Linked DNA regions of Astyanax mexicanus. The main gene of each other region encodes a partner of the protein of the gene in region 2 in a complex. Links are inferred from orthologs where the notes say so. Each region holds a gene or a part of one and is shown on either strand. Other genes may lie near its edges.

Region 1 (10,950 bases), on a different chromosome or scaffold from region 2:
GGATTAAACATGTGGATGTTGGATTATATGTATTGGTAATTTTATTCAGAAAATTCTAAACATTCAGATAAAACAATTTTCATGAATTTGCATATGAATTCCATGGTAATCGAAAGTGGTCTAAACTGGTTTATGTTGGTCTGGTCTGCTTGTGTATGAGGTTTGTTCCAGAATGACAGTGTGAAGGGCTGCTGCGTTTATTAAATGTAAAAAACAAACAAATAAACAGAGAAAACCCTGTCAACTATGTAGTTAGCTTACTAGTTATATGCATGTGATTAATAGGTTCTAAAATATTAGTTAAAAACACACCTGCACACTTGTTTAGCAACCAAAATAAGATTTTGGCAATATACTATCCAGCAGTCAGCAAACCTAGCAAGTCTATCTACACAGATTTAATACTGATTTTTCTACCTTTTAATATTTCTTTCTATCTAAAAGATAATAGCCTATTTGGCGCTGGAATGCACAATTGACAGATATATTCTTTTTCCCCCACGGAGGGCGCTGTTAGACCCAAATAGCTCCATTATGGCTTCAAAACATTAGCAGCAGCTTTGAACACAAATACTTACTCAGTCACTTAGAAACAAACATAATCGGATTAGGGAACATTTTTTTGTCTGTTATGTTTTCACTGTATATGTAACGAATTACAGTTAAAGATAAACCAAAAAAAAAACTTTTGAGAATTACAGTTGAGTTGAGGAACAGTCCGGACTATGTAATGCAATTACATGTAATCTACTACTATAAGCTGGCTGCCTATAATGTAAATCCTACTCTTTCATTAACCTTTCAGTGTTATCTACGTGTTTTTCTGAACTTGGACTGTGGTGTCTTGACCTTGAATGATAGAAAGTCCCTTTTGTGTAAACAAGATTATTGACATACAGAAATTCTTTGAACCCAAAGTACATCAAAACAAGATTTAAAGATATTGTTCTGTAAAGGTCATCAGTCAAACAACAATTGATGCAGTAATTTCTGTGTACAGATTATTACAATTGTATCATTACTTTCAACTCTTCATTTGTAAAGACTGTTTAAAGTTCAAATAAAATGTGCATAGACTTTAAAGAGAAGGAGGTATTTATTGAAGGTCATATTTATATACACAGGGAAAGGTGCCACAGAATTACCACCTGAGAGACTCGTTTAGTTTTAAAATAGTAACAATGAGATTTAATATACAGGCATTTCTCAGCAAGAGGTCATACAGATGGTGAATAAGAAAAAGAAAATCTATCTACACATTGCTGCAGTGTGGTCAAAACAAAATTAATCTTGTCAACAGTCAAAATAAATTGTTATAAAACATTACAAATATGTATACAATTAAATATACACATTTTAATATCACAAAATACAGTATTTACCATCTCAATAAGCCGCCGCCATCAAAGGAAACTGAAGCATTATAAAAATGTCAGCATTATATAAAAAGAAGCATCATTTACTACAGGGCAGTATGTGTGCTTAGAGTCTGACAGACCGCACACTTATAAGGGACTACGAAGCCACAGACATTACGTCTACAATGGATCCATTCAAATGCCTCCACTGCTTCATGATCCTTTATCGTCCTTTCTCCACTGTCTCAGGCCAACTCTTCATGTTCCCAGTGACCACAGGTACAGCGCAACAATCCTGCAAGGAAATTCCTCTTTTTGTCCGCCAGGGGGAAACAATGGACATCCTGAAATGTGGCAGAAGCTCAGTCTGTCATTGGACCACTTCAAAGTAGTGTAAAATGGCCATGATGTGTTGGGGCATGAACACGTAGCCTGTGTACACGGCCATGGCTGCTACAGAGACCAAGAGGGAATCTGACATTGTGTTAAGAAAATATTTAATTTGTAAAGAGACCTACAGTATTTAATATGGTAAATCTAAACGCTTACTACAAACCCCAAAAAAAGAAACAAGAAAACAAAAACAACCTCTGATATTCTGTGCAGATTTCAGAGACTGTATGCAGAAAGCTTCTCAGACCAAATAGTGTGGAACAGATCTAGTGCAGAACAGATCTTAAATCAGAATTCCTACTCTGAGAAACTTAAAGAGCACTGATTTCATTTCAGAAAACCTCACATACTACATATCGAAATGTTTGGTAACACCTCTTATAAACATTTTAAGGTTAAATCCTATGCCTAATACCAGACTTGGGATAGAAGGGTATAAAGCCCACCACTGTGTTTCACAGTGTAGGTTGTTGGTTCATGTGTCTAATCAAATTAATTATTATTTATGAATATAACTAAGAGAATGTGTGGTTGTTTGGAATCCTACATCAACTCTTCACAGGTATAAATCAACATGCACCGACAGGCAGTGCAAATTACATTAAACAAGATCACATTTCATTTCCCCCTCTTCCCATCATCATGCAGAAACACTGGTCTAGACAGTAGACACTCCCTAATTCAGTGTTCTGCTCGTAAGTATATCATGACACTGTACCAGTATATTTTAATATAAATCCTCACACAAATACAGTACCAGCCAAAAGTTTGGACACACATTCTCATTTAATGTTTTTCTGTATTTATTTTTTTTCTACACAAAAAGAGCTGATGAGCTGGAGCTTCACAGAGTGAAGGAAAAGCAGCAACTATTGTTCAGCACCTCCAGAAACTCCTTCAAGACGCTGAGAAATATATTCCAGGTGACTATCCCTCTTGAAGACACTGAGAAAATACCAAGCGTGCACAGATCTTCCTTTAAATGTGGCTACTTAGAAGAATCTACAGTGTAAAACTTTTTTTTTGTTTACAATCCTGTATAGCTTTAATGTAGTGCTGCACTGTATACGGAATACCACAGAGAATTTAAAACTGGTATGTATTTTTTTTTACATACTGCCATACCGCTAGAGGCACTGCGGAGCACTGTGTAGAAGCACACAGTGCAGAACAGCACCACCAAAGAAGCACACAGCTCATAAGATAAAGCTAGTCAGTTAGTATAACAAGCTAACGTACTGCAATGACTGAAGCGAGAGCAATAGAATTGCACAATCGATCCACAGCTCAGAGAAAAGTTCCCATATGAGACCAAAATCAGTCCTGAGTGCAGAGTCACTTATTCAGCACAAGAGACAAAACTCCTCTAAAACACTGAATATGAGAAAGGAACTATACCCTTTTAAATATATTAACATTGTAGCTTAAAAGGTAATATTATTGCTCAATGAACTGAATGTATTTGTTAACTGGAGAGAAAAGGGGATCGTGGCTGATTTTAATACTGTAATTGCTTCAGAAAAATATAATATAAATTGATATTAAACGTGTGTCTGACTTGTGTAATAGAGCTTTTGAAAAATATATATTTTAAATACTTAAACATTCAGTATTTTAGGTCTATGTATGGTGTTTATGGAACTATTTAAAAAGGAAGAAGTGCCAAGTTGTTGCCATATCTCTTTCTATGGTCTATTATTTACATTCTTCAGCTGTTTTTCGGCTAATGAAGCCTGATTTCTTCATATATTATGCAATTTTGTGGGACAAAGTAAACCCAATAGTTTTGTAATGTTTTATATAAAAGTACCCCTAATAGTAAGTCACAAACCTATATAAAAGCCCAGTCATGCAAAAAAAAAAAGAAAAAAAGAAATAAACTAAAAACCTAAAAAGAAAGAAAAAAACGCATTGATTGTAACTGGTACTGTTTAAATCACACGCTATCTGAAGTCAAAATCATCAACAGCACAAATCCATATCACTCATCAACTCCTCTCACACGCCAATACAGGCGTGGCCTGACAGAACAAAACAAAACATTTTATACTGACAATGAAAGCGTCTCTATTTACATATACACAATGGGTGCTAAAATTGTACATATATAAGGCTTGTTTTACATAATTTAGTTAGTTAGTTTTAATTGTGAGATTAAATACGAACGCGCTTCTTCCGTTTTGAGGCGTGCACGACGTGATGACGCAGGGCTGCGTGGATCAGATCTTGTGATCTACAAGTCATAAATACTACCACTTTAAGGACAGAGTGATTTAAAGATCTGTCCACCAGCCAGTTACTGTACTACTACTACTAATAATAATAAAATAACATATATACAGATTTTCCTTGAAGTTTACAGAACAATAACAGTGATTAGCAACAGTTTATCCCATCAGTGCTCGTACAATATATGTGTAAACAGTGTAAATCATGCGTACCGGTGACTAGTAATCTGATACTATATAACCCACTGTACTGATGAATCACTCCATCCAGCTAGCCCAGTTTCTCAGCCAGCTCAGACCTCTGAGGTCAGCTGATACAGTAGTTATTCAATGAAACCCCGAGTCAGTAAAAGATCCCACACATAGAAATCAAACAGCTCTATCTTATTATTAGATTATCTGTAATATAACAACTTTAACCCACTGACAGTAGGTTAATGTGAAATCTCACACATGCACTTGTTGCTAGCTGTAGCTAAAGGGCTAACGAGGTTATTACACAGGACACAGGCAGGCAGGTAACACAGCTATAGCTAACACCCCGCTCCCCCTCATCTCTACACTGAAACACCGGGTAAAGGATACTGAAGACGGTCCGCTCCCACGGCTCCAGCATATACAGCGCTGTGACTAGGAGGTACTGGTAGTAAAACCAGGAGATCTGCTTCCAGGCATCTCCAATCGCCATGTTCTGTTCTCTCCTCTCCCGTCTCAGCTCCTCCGCTCCCTTCCGCCTTCTTCACAAAGCGTGGATTATTGAAAATGACGACACGGCGACTCGCGGAGCTGCTGTTACCTGATTGGATTGTTCGGTGTGGGGTGCGAGTCCTTATTTACATATTTGTCTCTACGCGGCTTTGTTATTGGCTGTTCGGCGAAGCGGGTTTAATGCAGAGAAACAAACGGTGGAGAAACATTAGAAATATTATTACTATGAGATATTTACAGATAATTAATTAGAAAAAATACTTATGGAGTTCTTAAAACATATAAAGGTAGGAAATGCACAATTTTATATAAAAAAAATCTGTTCGCTTTGCCTTTATAATATTTTGAATGAGAAAGGCTAGTACACAACAGAGATTTACCGTATAAAGTACTAGACACAGACTTGAGTAAAAGTACAAATGACTTGAGTTGAAGTGTTCTTTAAGCACCACACAAGCAGACGTTTATAGCTAAAATGTGTAATATATTAGTAGCCCCTTGATTGAAATAGGAGCAACATGTAAAACAAGCAAAGCCTGCTGTGCAAAGTAACTTAAAATGTTCTTAAAGTGTGAAACTCCAAAAACGGTTATGACAAACTGTATGGACAAATACATGCAGGGCAAGTAATAGCCCTCAAACACAGGGTAACGTTATTTGTTCAGGCCCGTCCACACATATCCAGATGTTTTAAAAAACAATAAAGTATGCAGTGCTACGCACAGGTGTCAGTTTACCTTTACTGTTGGGGTATGTGGACTGAGTTTTAATGCTTCAGCTAAAATGGAAAATAGTTATAGGGGGTTTAAAGCCTGGTTTTAGACGTGTTCACAGGTGTAAACACAGGCTGGACGCAGCGGAGGTAGTTAGCATTTCAGCTAGCTAGTGTAAATAGAAGATTATTAATCCAAAGTAGAGTTACTGGTATCCTCTCTCAGCTCGTCTGCAGGCGCTATTTCCTCAATTTTCTTCTGTGTCTCCAGTTGTATTTATTTAAATTCTCCAAATATTATATAATTTTTGGTTCTAGTACATTTGACTACAGCTCACATTAACACTAATTACCATAATTCTTGCGCTTTGGTGACGCTAAGCATAGTACACCCACGTGACTGTCAACGGCCAATCTAAAATGTGAAGGTTTTTGAGATGTTTAATTTTAATTTTAACTATTTAGCATTGATCATGTAAATATAAATCCCCCTGCAGCCATTAAACGTTTTTAATAGCAACAAAAAATAAAAGAAACTTAAACATTAAAACTCTAATTAATAAAGTTTAGTTTCTCTGATTCATTTCTGTGCATAAATAGGGCAAATCTAAATAATATTTAATTATATCCTCCTAGAAAACCCTTAGTACTGCTCATAACTTCATACATATAAATTTAAATAATTTATCACAGTACAGACAAAGTTCCCTTGGCAAAAATATACATAAACCAAGTATGAGTTAATAATACAACAAGTGAAAGTGATCTTGGGGAACTATTTTAATTCTGGAAGATTTTCAGATAAATAATTCTTATCTGAACTCGAAGTAATGTGTCCAGCACAATCCAGTGCTTCCTTAAACAGAGATCAACAGCTAGCTGATAATCCATGAGTTCAGATTCACAGTTGAATCCAACCCTAGCTGTAATTTTCCATAAAAAAAAACAAAAAAAAACGTTTTTTTTAAAATAGCAGTCCCCAAAAAGATTTATTCAAATAATGCCAGAATAGACACAAACTTCCTCTTGCTTATCATGGTTTGGAATAGGTGATTCTACTTTTTTTAAACCAAAGTAAAACTATATGAAATGTATCTGTAAATTAAAAAAAAAAAAAGGAAATCCACTTTTCTTAAATCAAAAATTACAGATAATTTACATAAATGTGCATAAGTACAGAGATCTTCTAAAACATCCCCACATTCTCACCTGTGTTTCAATATTACCCTCCATACAGTGACTTTAGGAAAAGGGGCATCAGCCAGAGTCTTTTAGCACACACACATCATCCACTCAGCAATGGCTTGCTAGGATGTTAAAGAAATGGTAGACCTCATCTTTATCAAACACTGCCACTTCAGTAGAACACTCTGTACACTTGACTGGATGATAAATCTCTTCCTCGTCCATTCCACTCAGTCTGGAGTCAGTCAGACCTGCCTCTGCCTCATTCTCTGTAGCTGTGGACCCCTGATGGCTTTTCTTCTTGCGTCGGTTCTTCTGTTTGGCTGCTTTATACCTCAGGACTTCATCTTTACTCACTGTACAGTTCATCACAAACATGGCTCTGTATTGCGTTCTATACTTCTCATGTCTGTGTATAAACAGAAGACAACACAATTACAATACAATTTAGGTTGTCAAACTGGCTTGATGGTTAGTTTACAATTTGAACAACAAACAGGCTATTGGTACATGTCATGTTAAAGCTATGTTCAGCAGACTTAACATTATCCATCAATATTAAATCAAATCAAGTTATTTGATATTTCCTATAGTCTACAATGACAAAGGATGAAAAATAGCATTTAGGCTAATTCTGGTGCATTTACAGTAAATGTTAATTAATGTACACTGTCCCTGTCAAATAAACTATTAAATAAATAAAATAAATAGTCTAACAATGTCTTCAACAATACAATGTCTAATGTCTTTCATTTACGGGCTGTGTTTGATAGGACATGTGATATTCTGTTTCATAAAAATGTACACCTGGTCACTTCATGTTACTAGTATATAGATTATATCCAGATATTATATTTTGATTTTACCCACACACATTTACACTTAGCAGTCAAATGTGTCTCTAGTTATACTAAAATCTGATTGTTGTGTGAGACAGAATATGCTTATTATTTTATTGTGGCAATTAATACTAGAGTTTTGTTGTATGGGAAGGGGTTCCAGTTGCTGAATATGTCTTAGGGAAATAGATATGTTTACACTGCTCTAATTTGTAGCTGAAATTGGTCTCAGACCATCTCTTAAAGTGGTCTGAGTGACTGGATCTGTGATAAATGCAAAGTGGGTGTGTTTACACTTGCATGTTTATGTGGCTTGGCCTTATCAATAATCAATAATATCAATTATATCAATTATCAATAATATCAATAAGCCTCAGTTATAAAAAAAATCACAACAGTATTCTACAATTCTGTTGGGGATCTAACCACATTGAGCAGCTACATGTAGATTTATGTGATGGCCCTCTTACCTCTGACAGTCTAGACATAGCGTAGTCATACACGCAGGACAGTTGAGGACAGCATCACTGCTTGGGAGGGGGTGGGATTTGTTTCTTTTGTCTGCAGATGATCTAAACCTTCTGTGGCTTCTGTACCTATAGTCACCAAAAAGTACCGTCAAAAACACGAGACAGCTGTACTGCTTCTGTCACTACAGTGTTTGATTATTGTAGTAATTCTGGTTTACTTTTATATGACTCACTCTTTTCTCCTGGCATCTACCCACGCCTGATCCCGATCATCTTCATCTGGGTCATATAATAACTCATCATTGGTAAGTACAGTGCGCTGCTTTCTCCTCTGATTCTTGGAGACACCTGAAACAGAATTTTAACAGACATTCATTAGCACTCATGCAAGTAAATTATATCACATCGCCCTGTTGTTTGCATATTCCTGGCAACCTTACCGGGCAAAGCATCCTCATCTGAATCTGAATCAAAGTATATGTTATCGTACTGCGGAGGTTGTGTTCTGGTCGTGTTTTGTGTTGAAGCATTGTCACCAGTCTGAGAGGCCTCGCCTACAGTTGAAAACAACACATTCCTATTAGTCTGTGAGCACATCACACACATCAGTATTCCACAGTTTGTATAGTGAAAGTTGTAATGATAACCTTGAGAAGATGGAAAGGTCCAGTTGCCCTCCATGGATTTCATTGTGCTGCTCAGCTCTGCCTCCATCTCTTTCTCAAACTCATCACCACTGGATGACTCACTCTCCCCCGTCAAATACTCTCGGATGAGCTTCTTCTTCTGATCTGGAGTTCCATTAAGAAGAATGTCGAGCTCATCTTCGGAGCTAAAGGACAATATATTCAAACAAAAGGTAAGCACGCTGCTTTATTTTTTTAGGTTATAAAAGCACCATGTCAGATTCAATTATAGGCCTAAAGCTTCTTAAAAAAGGAGCACATTTTGGCAGATATCACTCTGGGCCCTTTAGAAACTGTGTAATGGAGTTGAATGAATGATATAGCTCTCCAAACCATCACTGATTGTGGAAACTTCACACTAGACCTCAAGCAGTTTGGACTGTGTGTCTCTTCACTCTTCCTCCAGACTCTGGTCCCTTGATTTCCAAATGAAATGCAACATTAACTGATGATCAGTGATGGGTTGGAGAGCCATGTTATCTGCTGATGTTGGTCCACTGTGTTATATTAAGACAGCACTTCTTGCTTCCCTCTGCGGTCAACTTTTATGCAAATGCAGATTTCATTTTCCAGCAGGACTTGGCACACTGCCCACACTGCCAAAAGTACTAATCAGTCTTTACATAAGTCTTTAAAATATTTACATTTTCTGAGACTCTCTGTGTGTAATACATTTATATAATATATGACGTTCACATTTTGAACTCTATTACTGAAATAAAGTAACTTTTTCAACTCATCATTTTTGAGATTTTTAGATGCATGTAGTGTAGCTGGATTTTAAATATAATTACAATAAAAAATGTAACAGGTTAAAGGATATGGAGATTATTTGTCCTATAGTGTATTGTGACATTGTCGATTAAAATAATCAGTATATTATCTTAATTAACATTTAGCATGATCAATGTCACGTTAATTCTTTTGAGTGATTCATATCTAGCCATGGGTAAAACTATGTATGTGCTGTGTTTTACTTTGAAGAGAGTTGGTACGAAAACGTTTTAATCAGTATTTTTGACTATCTTAGATATATGTGAAAAAATGAAAGTAAAATACTGGTAAAGTGCAGAGTTCAGATCTGAACTACAGACCCAGGTGTGTTACAAGTTCCTTTAAGTGAAATCAGTGGGTGCTGCAGAGTAAACGCCTTTCTGCTGAGATTATACACACAGTTTACTTTAATAAACATACATAAATTTAAAGTGTCTATTACAGATTTACTGTTCTCCTCAGTGTGCACTCAGATGTAAACCTTTAGAAACACGCGCTGCTTGTTTACGGTAACAGCGCGTCTCCGGATTAGTGATTACCTGACTGCTCTTTCTTCATCACTCGGCTCCTCAATCTCGTAAGAATCATATTCATCTTTTCGGTTCATTTTTTTCTCAATCCAGAAAATGGAAATAAACAAATAAACACACAGGAACGCAATAAAAGCACAAACAGGCGAGAGAGCAGCGCTGTGTCTTTCCGGAGCAAGACTCTTCCACGTGACATTTCAAAATAAAAGCTTTCTGAGTATTAACCCTTTCAGACCTGAATTATCTCCAGTGACAGAAATAAAATGTAGGAATGCTGTTTTCTGTCTGTAATGCACACAAAAGAAAACACTAATATTCTATAATAAAATATATACAGCAAATAAATCCAATAAACTAAAATATGTAATTTTTTATTGCCATTGTATTGCAAGCCTGTGTGATATTTTCTATTTCATATTGACTTTTTAATTTCAAAAACATGAATAAGTGTTCTAAATTAGATTTTTACATTAAACTAGTAAAAACAGCCTCTATTAATTAAGCTTAAGTACTACTGTTTTTCTAGCAAAGTGGGCGGGGCCAAGTTACTGTTTTATTGGTTTATAAATTTGTTGATTGGCTGGTTCATGGTCTATTCTGATGAATAACAACCAGCTCTTAAATAGTGTTATGTGCAACAAAGCAAATACATGATGCCCATTGTAATGGATGCAGGGTTTAAAAATGTAAGCTCGTCTTCCTTGCCCTCTAGCTGTGCCAAGTCTTTACATTAAAATATTAATAAATATGTAACAAATACATGTATTACCACAAATATAATTAATGCATTCAATTATCTAATAATACCATCAAGCATATATATTGGGCAGAGCCTCTTAATCTACCAGAGGTGTTAAAAAATATGTTCTTCATGCTACACTTATTTCCAACTCACATGAAATGAACATGAAATAAGGTAAACAGTGTTATTTATTTTTGTTATGTTCATTGTCATTTTATCATCATTTAACTGTTTTATGTCAGCATTCCTCCATCATAATAAATGGAAGCTTTGGTCACATACTGTGAAAAAACACATTCATATACAGTGCACTTAAAAAGCTGGG
Region 2 (11,215 bases):
TCTGGGTCAATTACACTCATACACAGACATCCAGTAGTACAATACATACCCTCTGACTATATTAAAATCCTTTAATTTTCCTAAAAATCATCATTGCACTTTATAATCTGGTGCTCCTTATGTATGAATTCTACCAGTCAGGTATTAAGGAGCAGTAAAGCCACTCCACTAAAGTACAGAGTTATACAAGAGTTTCAGTAAAGTTTCTCCAGCACCAAGACTGGAGCAGTATTAGCATTAGCCGCTAACCGCACTAAATGCTAGCTTTTTTTACCGTCAGGCGTGAGTATATCAGACTGTAGTCTGCGTGTTTACCGTGTTAAAACAAGCTACATAGGACAAACCAATACCTGATAGCATCCTTATTTTCCAGGACACTCAGGGTACCTCAGTGTAGCACTGTAAGACGGCATTTACTAGCGCTAGCATTAAGCAGCTAATGCTAATGCTAATGCTCCAGCTTTAGTGCTGGAGAAATTTGTTAATCTAAATTTACTGTAAATAAACAAAAGCGCCTTTTTGTTTCAGGAGAGAAATCTGTGTAGATTAACATTCAGCGTTCGTTTGTTTTTGAAAGAAGGTGTTTATTTTATGAATTACAGTCTTTTTTACTTGCTTTTAGTCCCCCCCCCCCCCCCACTATCACCCAGCGCAGAGACCTGCTGAATTTGAAGGAAAACATGGCGACACACCTGTTCCTTACTACGCCTTATAATCCAGTGCTCCTTATGTATGAAAATAGATCAGAAAATAGACATTCACTGACTGTGTGCAGTTGACACATCAGCACATCAGTGTCAGCAATGGGCCAGCAATTTTAAAACCCTAGGATTTGGTGATTTAGGAAAAAAGCCAACATCTTCCCATCCAAATCGAGCATGGGCAATTGTGCTCTCTCGGACTCAGGCTGCTGATGGGAAAGCAGCATGACCTTGCATTTGAACGAGTGACAGCAACTTAGTCACTATGGAACAACCAGTCAGAGGTGTCAATCGGTTAAAAATATTAAACAGATTAATTACAAAAATATTCTGCGTTTAACCGCACTTATTCTTAAGACAAGATTTTATAGTGGCTACATAACTGTATTTGAAAGATTGAATGTAAACATATTCTTGTATGTTTAAGAGGAGATGGAATAAATAATGCATGATAAACTGGATAAAGGAAACTTTTTTTACTTTATTTTAAACATCTCAGCTTGGTTGTAAGGATTTTTGAATTAGATCTTAATTAGCTAAGTATAAAAAGAGCGTTTTCACACCTGTAGTTGGGAAAGTTTCTATAATCTGGATTATTTGATGAGTTTGTGAACGCTGCACATACTGTGCACTCAGTGTGTAAACAGCATGGAGCAGCAGAGACAGCGTTTGTTTATAGCAGTATATTATCTGGCTACAATATCAAAATAAATTGCGTGTTTTGTCAGCAGTTTAGCTCAATTAAAAAGAAGTATATTTGTTAGATGGGTTGAAAAACAATAGCATGTTACTGATCAATCAATCAATCAATCAATCAATCATGTGTATTACGCTTTTATGTTGACAGCCCTAATAGAAACCTAAGGTCACAACTAGTTGGAAGTGAGTTCTGTGCAGCATGGTGAGCTCAGAATGAGATTTTAGAGAGAGGATTAAAGGTAGCTGTAACTGTCCTCCCACACACACTTTTAAAGCACTTAATATGATCTAATATTTGATTAACCTTTCCAGAAAGGGGTGAGAGGAAGAGACGGAGAAAGTAAATGAGTTTATTTGACATATAATATTGAATAAACTAAGCAGAACTACTGCTTAGAGGATGGGAGTTCAGCTGTGTTTGAGCCTGTCATAACAGCAAACATGTTAAAACACAGGCATGGTGAATGTCATAGCATTTCTCTTTCTTTGTTCTTACATTCGGGTGAAAAAGAAGGCAATTAAAATGAATTATGTGAATGAAATGTAATGGTTTCTGGCACGGCTGTTTTGGTGAGGTGGTACCGAGGCCGTGTTTAGGCAGATGCTCCGCACGGAGCAGCGCTCGCTCTCTGGAATGCCTTTCGTCAGCTATCAGTCAGCTACTGCGCACAAGCATTCACACTTAAACACCACAGTCCTGCACACCACAAGGCAGCGGAAGGCAGCGAGCCAAGAGTCTGACTCAGATCTCAGGTATCAAAGGTTACACCTCAGTGAAAGTTAAGTAAATGTGAGACTCAGCCAATTAATACAAGTTCAGAAAGACAGCGAAGAACAAAAACAGTTTAGTTAAATAACTACAAATAAACATCTGAGGATGAAACGATGCTCTAATATCAACACATCAACACTGCTGCATGTAGGATGGTTATAATATTACAGTCAGATTAATGGGGTCTAACTCGATTAATGACTGTGTTCTTAAAGCCAGTGAAGAACACAAACAAACACATACGCTATTTATCTGGATCAGTCTCATTTTTCTTGGTAAACAGACACTGTGTATTGTGGGGAGGCCTGCTTGTTTCTACCTTTAACTTCTATTACTTTTGTACTTCATTATTGTAAGTCGCTTTGGACAAAAGCATCTGCCAAATGTAATGTAATGTAATGAAATGTAATGTTCATTAAGTGTATAAGGCCATTATACACTGTTAAAGTATACTTTCCTTGAGTAACTGTTTTTTATCAATATGTTTACTTAACAAAAAGATAAATACTTTAATTAATAAAGGTGTTAGTTAACAAATGTGAATATGTTATATAATAAACACAAGGTATGCATATTTATAAAAACGGTGAAGGACAGCATTACTTTGTACAAGCACATCAAGGTCATTAATTACCTCATATATTAATTCTCAATTTGTAATGGTTGGAAGATAACATAAAAGTGACGAATTGTCCCAAACTGCATAAATTAAAAATAATCTTTTCAGATGGAACATAAGAATAGAGTTATTTTATCCACATTGAGGAATTAGGTGGTTTTAGTGTTTTTTTTGTCTCATTCCTTAATTTTTTTAATTCATTCTAAAATGTCTAGTTGTGCTCCGGTGATCCGGTATAACGCTGCTTTAGTCCGGTGGAGGAGTGGGTGGAGGGGAGAAATGATAGGATTTCGGCTCTTGCTCATGAATATTCACACATGCAAACATATCGCCTCTGATTGACTAACAGCACTGCAACACCAGGAGGCAGCGAGATGAACAACAGTTAGAAATGTTTTAAAATAAAGACATTTTTTACACTAATAACAGTCTTTGCAGTGTCATATGTTACTGTCATATATGATTAGTATATGCAGTTCAGCCACTGACCGAGTCTTAGAATCTCTGTAAAACAGCGTTTCTCAACCTTTTTTCTATCACGGCACCCTTTAAATATATGCGAGATGTCAAGGCACCCCAGTTTACGGACGGGGGGGGAGGTGCTGGCGCAGTACTTCAGGTGAGAACGAGGGGTGTTGCTGGCGGAATATGAAATAAAATAGCGCGTGCATCGCGTGGGGGGACAAAAACTTTACAGTGTGTCCCAATTTAGGGGCTGCATCCTTCAGAGGCTGTATTCGAAGACAGATTGCGTCACAGCTGCGCAGTAATACACCGCCTCTGTGGGTCGCATCCTTCAGAGTATGCTGCCTGTGAATTGGGACACACCCCGACACGAGCTGACTCTGGAAAGGAAATATGCACGTGAAGCGCAATATTTTGACGGCACCCCCGATGAAGCCAGGCGGCACCCTGGTTGAGAAACACTGCTGTAAAACACCAAATCCACTGAAGATCCTATTTAAACCTATAGTTACACACCTTTTTTACTTTTAACTAGTGTAAACAGAATTTTACAGAACAATTATATAACCCCTCTTGACAGTGTGGGGGAGCCCCTAAAAATGCTTTAACGTCCTAGCACAACTCTAAAATGTTGCTCTACAAGGGCCTGGTGTCCTCTTAAGAGGCCATTATACTGTCACTTAGTGGTGGCAAAAGAATTTTACACATTACAGTATGATTTTCTTCAGAAATTTAAATAAACAGTAAATACAGTAAAAGTTTATGCTATTTACTTTATGTCTTTGTTTTGAAGTTGAATCTTCAAATGAGCCAAATTTCTACTTATATTTTGCACTCAGGCACAAAATAAATGTTTTGCACATCATTACTAACTACAAACTTCATTGTGTTCTATAGAAATATAAAACTAAAGTCCTCATATGTGGACATACAGAAACTATATTATGTAAAAAGACATTTCTTTGTTTTTACACTAATAAAGTGCCAATTAGCCCAAATAGCAAAGAGAAATAAAAAAAAATGCATGCCATGCAAGAGTTTCTTTCAAGAAAAGGTTTTTGGAAGAAAATTGTTGATGGTTCCTTGAAGACCCCAATGGATTCTTCTACACAGTCCCTCTATTCTCTCTCATTTACTAAAATTCATATTTCTAAAACAAAAGAAATCAAAGTGTTGAAACAATAGGAAAATTCTAAGACTACACATTGTCTCTTGACTGCATTTACTTTTCCTCTACGTATCGACTGAAAAACTGTACTATACTGTACTTGTGTTGTAACATGCTGTACATCTTACACGCTGTACACACTTCCACCCTCTCTAATGTAATGGGTAGTTTTTCTGATGCATGTTCTCCCGTTACCTGTTGCAGGTCCCTGGCTCTGGGGCAGCAGTACTCATCCCTGGGCTCCCAGCCCATCCTCTGCGGATCCATTCCTGGCCTGGTTCCCAAGCAGCTGCGCTTCTGCCGCAACTACATCGAGATCATGCCCAGCGTGGCCGAGGGCGTCAAACTGGGCATCCAGGAGTGCCAGCATCAGTTCCGTGGCCGCAGATGGAACTGCACCACCATAAAGGACAACCTGGCCATCTTCGGTCCTGTGCTGGACAAAGGTAAAATACATTAAATACAGAATGTCAATCACTTTTCTGCTATGTGTTTGCTTTGGAATATTACTTTGAAGGTGTGCTCAGGTAGCTAATGGCTTTATCAGCTCTTGAGATACAATCAGAACAGAATACACTTACGGAAACACTGGTTTTAGAATAATTAATAATTAATAATAATATAATGAATAAAATGCATCATTTAGAATGGTTGTTCCCCAAGAACCCACCACTAATACAGAAGATGCTGAGGGTTTAACACATGGTTTAGAGCAGGCCTGTCCCAATGACTACTATTTTATGTCAGTTACTTTATAACAATAAAGTCAATATCAAAAAATTAGAATATCCTTAATATAGTTACTTTATTTTAGTAATTCAGTCCAAAATCTGAAACTCTCATACAGCTCTGGAAAAAATTAGGAAACCACTTCAGTTTCTGAATCAGTTTCTCTGATTTTGCTATTTATAGGTTTATATTTGAGTAAAATGAACATTGTTGTTTTATTCTATAAACTACAGACAACATTTCTCCCAAATTCCAAATAAAAATATTGTCATTTAGAGCATTTATTTACAGAAAATGAGAAATGGCCGAAATAACAAAAAATGATGCAGAGCTTTCAGACCTGCAAATAAAACAAGTTCATATTCATAAAGTTCAGAAATCAATATTTGGTGGAATAACCCTGGTTTTTAATCACAGTTTTCATGCATCTTGGCATCATGTTCTCCTCCACCAGTCTTACACACTGCTTTTGGATAACTTTGTCTTTACTCCTGGTGCAAAAATTCAAGCAGTTCAGATTGTTTTAAAGGCTTTTGATCATACATCTTCCTCTTGATTATATTTTTTTCCAGAGCTGTATTATATAGATGTATTAAACACAGAGTGATCTATTTTTAGCGGTTATTTTAGTTAATCGTTGATGATTATGGCTTAAGGCCAATGAAAACCCAAAAATCAGTGCCTCAGAAAATTGGAATATTAAATAAGACCAAATGGTACTTTTGGCAGTGTGGGCAGTGTGCCAAGTCCTGCTGGAAAATGAAATCGCATTTTTCCCATATTGTGCAGCCCTACTAAAAAAAACGTACCGAAAACATAACAAAAATGTACCGAACCCTTGGGTTCATAATGAGGTTACACCCCTTAGTATATCACAGACAAAAGCAACCAAAAATTGTGCAGACGTAACGGATATCTGCTGAAAAAACTCCACCGCCATGCTTTAATAACACTCACAGTGTGAAATTGGCGATTATGTTTATTCCTCTGCCTTTATTCCTGCATTTCTTTTAAACAAAAGACAGTGAAGAAGACAATGGGTGATCTAAATGAGCAGAAACTCTGCTGAGCGACAGATAGTGGAGGTGGCCTATCTCCTTATCTCCTTATCTCCCTCTGCGGCAGATCCCCAGATCCCCGAGGGTGAAGATGAGCAGCCCCTGATGGAGAGCAGCGCTAGCCTGGCCGCGAGTGTTAGTGTTAGTGAGTGAATGAGAGAGAGAAAAAGAGAGAGAGAGAGAGAGAGAGAGAGAGAGATGGGGAGGCCAAATGAGATTACAAGCAATAGAAAAGGGCTGAGATGGGGGGTGTTGGGGGGTTCCGCTCAACCCCTACTGTGCGTGAAGGCCAGTATGAGCCATCTCTGTGTGCCTCTTACAGCCCGGCTCCCACGAACGCCCCATTCACACGCCCTTTTGACTGTGTCATGAAAACGGGCTGAAAGGGAATCTCCCAACCTTCCCCATCAGGAAGGGGGTGCAGTGATGGGCAGAGGAGAGAGGTTGGCCATGGTGAAGAGGGGGAGAGGTCAGAGAGAGAGAGAGAGAGTGAAGGAGAGAGAGAGGAAGATACAGGGAAGCCAGTGGTTTTCAATATATTGAGGGTTTATTTAAGAAACAATCCAACCCGGGGTGAGAAGGAAAAAGAAAGGCTCCAGGGTTCATGGTTGGTGTGTGCATGTCGCTGCTGGGATAAATGGGGGGGTGCTCCTGTTGGGAATGCCAGGCCGGCTCTGGGCAGAGCTAAGCTGGGCTGTGGGGGTGTGGGGGTGCCGGGCCCTTTTGTGCGGGTAATACAGTGTGACACCAGAGAGACAAAGGCGGATTCATGGGCCCAGCAGGTAGCGGGAGCAGCGCTCCGTTTGGCTCGGGGCCAGAGCTCCTGGGGCCCTCAGCTCACAGCACTCTGTTGTAGTCAACCCAGCTGGGCCTGCCAGAACCAACCGGGCCTCATTCTGGCCTCCCACCCTGAGAGGTGTGTGCCCAAACACACAAACATCAGGAGAAAAGAGCAGTGAAGCGGTGTGTGTGTGTTGTGTCCCCTTAGAATAAAACAACAACAGAACATACATACAAAACGTAAAACACACATTAAGAGTAGGGGTGGGTATCGTCACTGATTTCCCAGTTCGATTCGATTCTGATTCACAAGTAGGCTTGTCACTAGTGCTGTGTGATATGATGATAAATATCATGGGGACCCTATCGTTTCTACAGTAATTTCATCAATTATTGATGCAAATATATAAAGTAGGCTACAATAAAAATCTATTGGCATGGTCACTTTGCATGAACTCGGTTTATATAAGTGATAATAAAGTAATCTTCGCTTAAATTAAAAAAGCTTCATAATGTGATTTTGCAGCATGACGCTGCTGTACGTTATTTGATTCAAAATCGATTAATTTAGGTACATTTCTGTTACAATAAAAACTGTACTTTAAATATGAAATGTTGTAATTATACAAGAAACACAATTAGTGTTTATTTTATATCGACTTATATAAACACAACAGTTTTTATTTCAATTATTCTTTTAATATAATTTAATGTAGCTTAGTTAATTGCGACACCGTGCTTCACGTCTCTATACAGGTTTGTTATGTCCACTTTACTCAAATGTTTATGTGTGGGTAAAATATGATCCAGAACATTAATGAGGCTTTGAAAGCCTTCGTTTTTAACAATACTATACATATATACTGACATTTTAGTTATAGAAAACAGAAATATAACATGTTTCATAAATTTCTGTAAAAGTGTGAAATTTACCCAGACCCACTAGTTCAGATTTGATACAACAATAAGCAAAGTTTAGTGCACCGGCCGCATGTAAGGCTAGTAAACCCGGCTAAAGGGGGATTAGCTTCCCCGGTGATTTGGCTAACCCACTAAGCTAACAGTAGATTCAGCCAGTCAGGTCTTACTTTAAAATAGAGTACAGGCTGAAACAACACTGGAAAACAACTTAAAACAGTGTTAAATGTACTAGTTTGATAAACACAAGGTAGCATTAAGTGGAAATACAGAAGAAAATTACTTACATTTTTACAGAAACTCTCCGCAGGTAAGATTTATGACCAGAGAAACTTATAAAAATCTATTAACATTAATGTATCTTAATAACATAACGACAGCGCTGTGGAGTTGTGATTATTAGGAATACTGTAAAATATGTGTACTTATTGTGGTGGTTTATTATAACGGCGACAAGTTCTCAAATTAATTCAGGCTTTATGTAAAACATAAAACAAGACAAGAAAAGCTGAGCACCTTAAGAATTTTCAGAAGAAAAAAAAACTAAATTTTTTAAAAAAGTGTTGAAATGAATGACTCAGCAGTTCCTTCCCAGTATGACAGCATGATGAGGAGGAAAAAAAATCACCTGACGACATCCTGAGTCACACTCCCAGCCAGGTTAATAAACCTGACCTCTCACCTCACCTTTCACCTTTTAGGATAGGTAATATTACACAGACTAGAGGTGCCAAAAATGTGGCCAAAAATATTTGTTAAAAATTGTTTAGGGGAATAAAAATTTACTGCGCTTTTTAAATAAATATGTCTAACAAATCTTTGAGATGGCACTTAGTTTAGCTAACATATACAGCTTTGGAAAAAAAGAGACCACATTAGTTTTATTCTATAAACTACAGACAACATTTCTCCCAAATTCCAAATAAAAATATTGTAATTTAGAGCATTTATTTACAGAAAATGAGAAATGGCTGAAATAACAAAAAAGATGCAGAACTTTCAGACCTCAAATAATGCAAAGAAAACAAGTTCATATTCATAAAGTTCAGAAGTTCAGAAATAAATCAATATTTGGTGGAATTACCCTGATGGTTTTTAATCACAGTTTTTTTCATGCATCTTGGCATCATGTTCTCCTCCACCAGTCTTACACACTGCTTTTGGATAACTTTATGCTGCTTTACTACTGGTGCTGCTTTTGTAATGTTTTGTAATGTTTTCTTAAACAATCAAAAATCAAAACTACAATCAAAAATTATAGTACCATGTAGGAGATGTACCATATCGTATCGTACGCAATAGTATAACCAAATATTCTGACATGATATAACTCCTTATAGTGATATCACAATATACTTGAAAGCTATTTAATATATTTACATGTAATTGTATGTTTGCCGTTTAGATGCCCCAGGGAATACAGATGAAAATAAGCTTTTTAGCTAACTCTGGCACATTTACATTGATGTTGAAACGGAAATGTTTATCAAAATAGGAGATGCTGCACTATACATTTTTATTGTTACACTGATTTGGTGAGTTAATATTTACAAACTAATCATTTATAAACTTGCAGTAGTACATTCTTTAAATTATTATTATTGTTTTAAATACCATGTTTTGTCATACCAACATAAATATCATTATCGCAAAAATACCCTGAAATATTGTGACACATTTTAGGGCCTTATTGCCCATCCCTAGTAAAAATTCTAACTTTTTTCAATGGATTTTAAGTATGTAAAGTTGTAAAATGAATGACTCAGCAGTTCCTCCCCAGAATGACAACATCCACCTGAGTCACACTCTCAGCCAGGTCAATGAAAAACCATCGCTTCTCACCTCACCTTTTTTTCTTAAGCCTATCTTACGCAACCGTGCAGAGACTCGCGCTGCGTGTGGCCGAAGAATGCGTGAGAGAGAGCGTAGTAAACACTGACGCAAACTGATGCAACGTGTTTGTTACTCTGAGAAAAATCCCTCTCGCAAAGAAAGAAAAACACTTCTGGAACGCTCTGTACATTTCTTTCTTTCTTCCCGGTACGAATTGCAGTTCTGTGTGTGCTGGCGTGAGGGAGAACTACAGCTAACCTTACAGGGTTCCAGTCTCTCTCTATAACTAACAAACTCTATAACTAATCAAACCAGGCTGAGATCTGGCAACCCTTAGGAGAAGCACAAATGTTCTCAGGATGGGAGGTCGGAGGAGCTGGAATGTCTGTTGCAGAGTGTGTGTATGTACATGTGTGATCAGGCAGCAGTAGACTCAACAGGATAGATAGGGGGGGGTATTCTCAGCACTGCTCTGATTAGCACTGATTAGCATGGTGGTGGTGTATAAGGTGTTAATGTGTGTTGTGCTGGTACAGTGAGGGGGTACCCCCAGGGTATCGAGGAGAGCATAGGTCAGAGAAGCAGCCAAGAGGCCCATGGTCACTCTGGAGTAGCTGCAGAAATCCACAGCTCAGGTTGGAGAATCTGTATACAGAACAACTATCATAAGTCATGCGCTCCACAAATATGGCCTTTTATGGAGAAGTGTCAAAAAGAAATCATTGTTAAAAGAAACATATGAATTGCAGTAAGCAGTTGCTGCAAACATATGAAAGAAGGTTCTCTGGTCAGATGAGACCAATGTTGAACTTGAACTCTGGCCTTAATGCGAAGCGCTATATGGGGAGGAAAACAAACACTGCTCATCACCCTCTACACACATCACCCCACTGTGAAGCATGGTGGTGGTGGCATCATGCTGTAGACCTGTTTTTCTTCAGCAGGGACAGATGTGGGAAGCTGGTCAGAGTTAATAGGAAAATGGATGGAGATAAATACAAGACAATCCTGGACAAAAACCTGCTGAAGGCAACAAAAGACTTGAGACCTTCCAGCAAGACAATGACCCTAAACATACAGCACTACAGAGCTACAGTGCAATGATTTAGATCAAAGAATATTCATGTGTTAAAACGATCCAGTCCTAAATCCCACTGATCTTATCTTATCTATTTTGTATATTCTCTTTTTTATTGTATTCTTTATTTTATCTATATTATCTATTTTAATAACAGCTCTTGGGTGTAAACTGGATCGTGTGATCACAATTTCGTTCCACCTCATGTACCACATGTGATGCGAATGACAATAAAATCTCCTTGAATTCTTGAGTCTTCTGTGGAGAGACATGAAAACTGTTGTTCACAGACGCTCTCCATCCAACCTGGCTTGATATGGGTGATATAGGGGGGCTAAATACTTTTTTAGTTTTTTATTTGATAAAATGTTTTAAAACCATGCATTATTCTCGTT

Evidence for each region. The genes of interacting proteins can lie anywhere in the genome.
Region 1: the proteins of ormdl3 (region 2) and sptssa are in contact, whole or in part, in a cryo-EM structure (PDB 7CQI), measured with the Homo sapiens proteins. The link is inferred for Astyanax mexicanus from reciprocal best matches to the Homo sapiens genes ORMDL3 and SPTSSA. Residues at the interface, in NP_001307730.1 of Homo sapiens: Val36, Leu38, Ser39, Ile40, Pro41, Phe42, Ser44; in NP_612145.2 of Homo sapiens: Ile44, Tyr50, Thr51, Val54, Phe55.

What each region holds. Positions count from the first base shown.
Region 1 is NC_064421.1:19,106,069-19,117,018, reverse strand, and holds sptssa (serine palmitoyltransferase small subunit A), read right to left. Parts: upstream 4,775-10,950; 5' UTR 4,668-4,774; coding exon 4,565-4,667; intron 1,833-4,564; coding exon 1,729-1,832; 3' UTR 1,078-1,728; downstream 1-1,077. Other genes in the region: E2F-associated phosphoprotein, read right to left, coding at 6,693-6,993, 7,894-8,019, 8,127-8,241, 8,334-8,447, 8,541-8,725, 9,893-9,960. UniProt on the Homo sapiens protein: Component of the serine palmitoyltransferase multisubunit enzyme (SPT) that catalyzes the initial and rate-limiting step in sphingolipid biosynthesis by condensing L-serine and activated acyl-CoA (most commonly palmitoyl-CoA) to form long-chain bases.
Region 2 is NC_064422.1:44,019,365-44,030,579, reverse strand, and holds the start of ormdl3 (ORM1-like protein 3), read right to left. Parts: upstream 4,629-11,215; 5' UTR 4,620-4,628; intron 1-4,619. Other genes in the region: wnt3 (proto-oncogene Wnt-3), read left to right, coding at 4,629-4,870. UniProt on the Homo sapiens protein: Plays an essential role in the homeostatic regulation of sphingolipid de novo biosynthesis by modulating the activity of the serine palmitoyltransferase (SPT) in response to ceramide levels.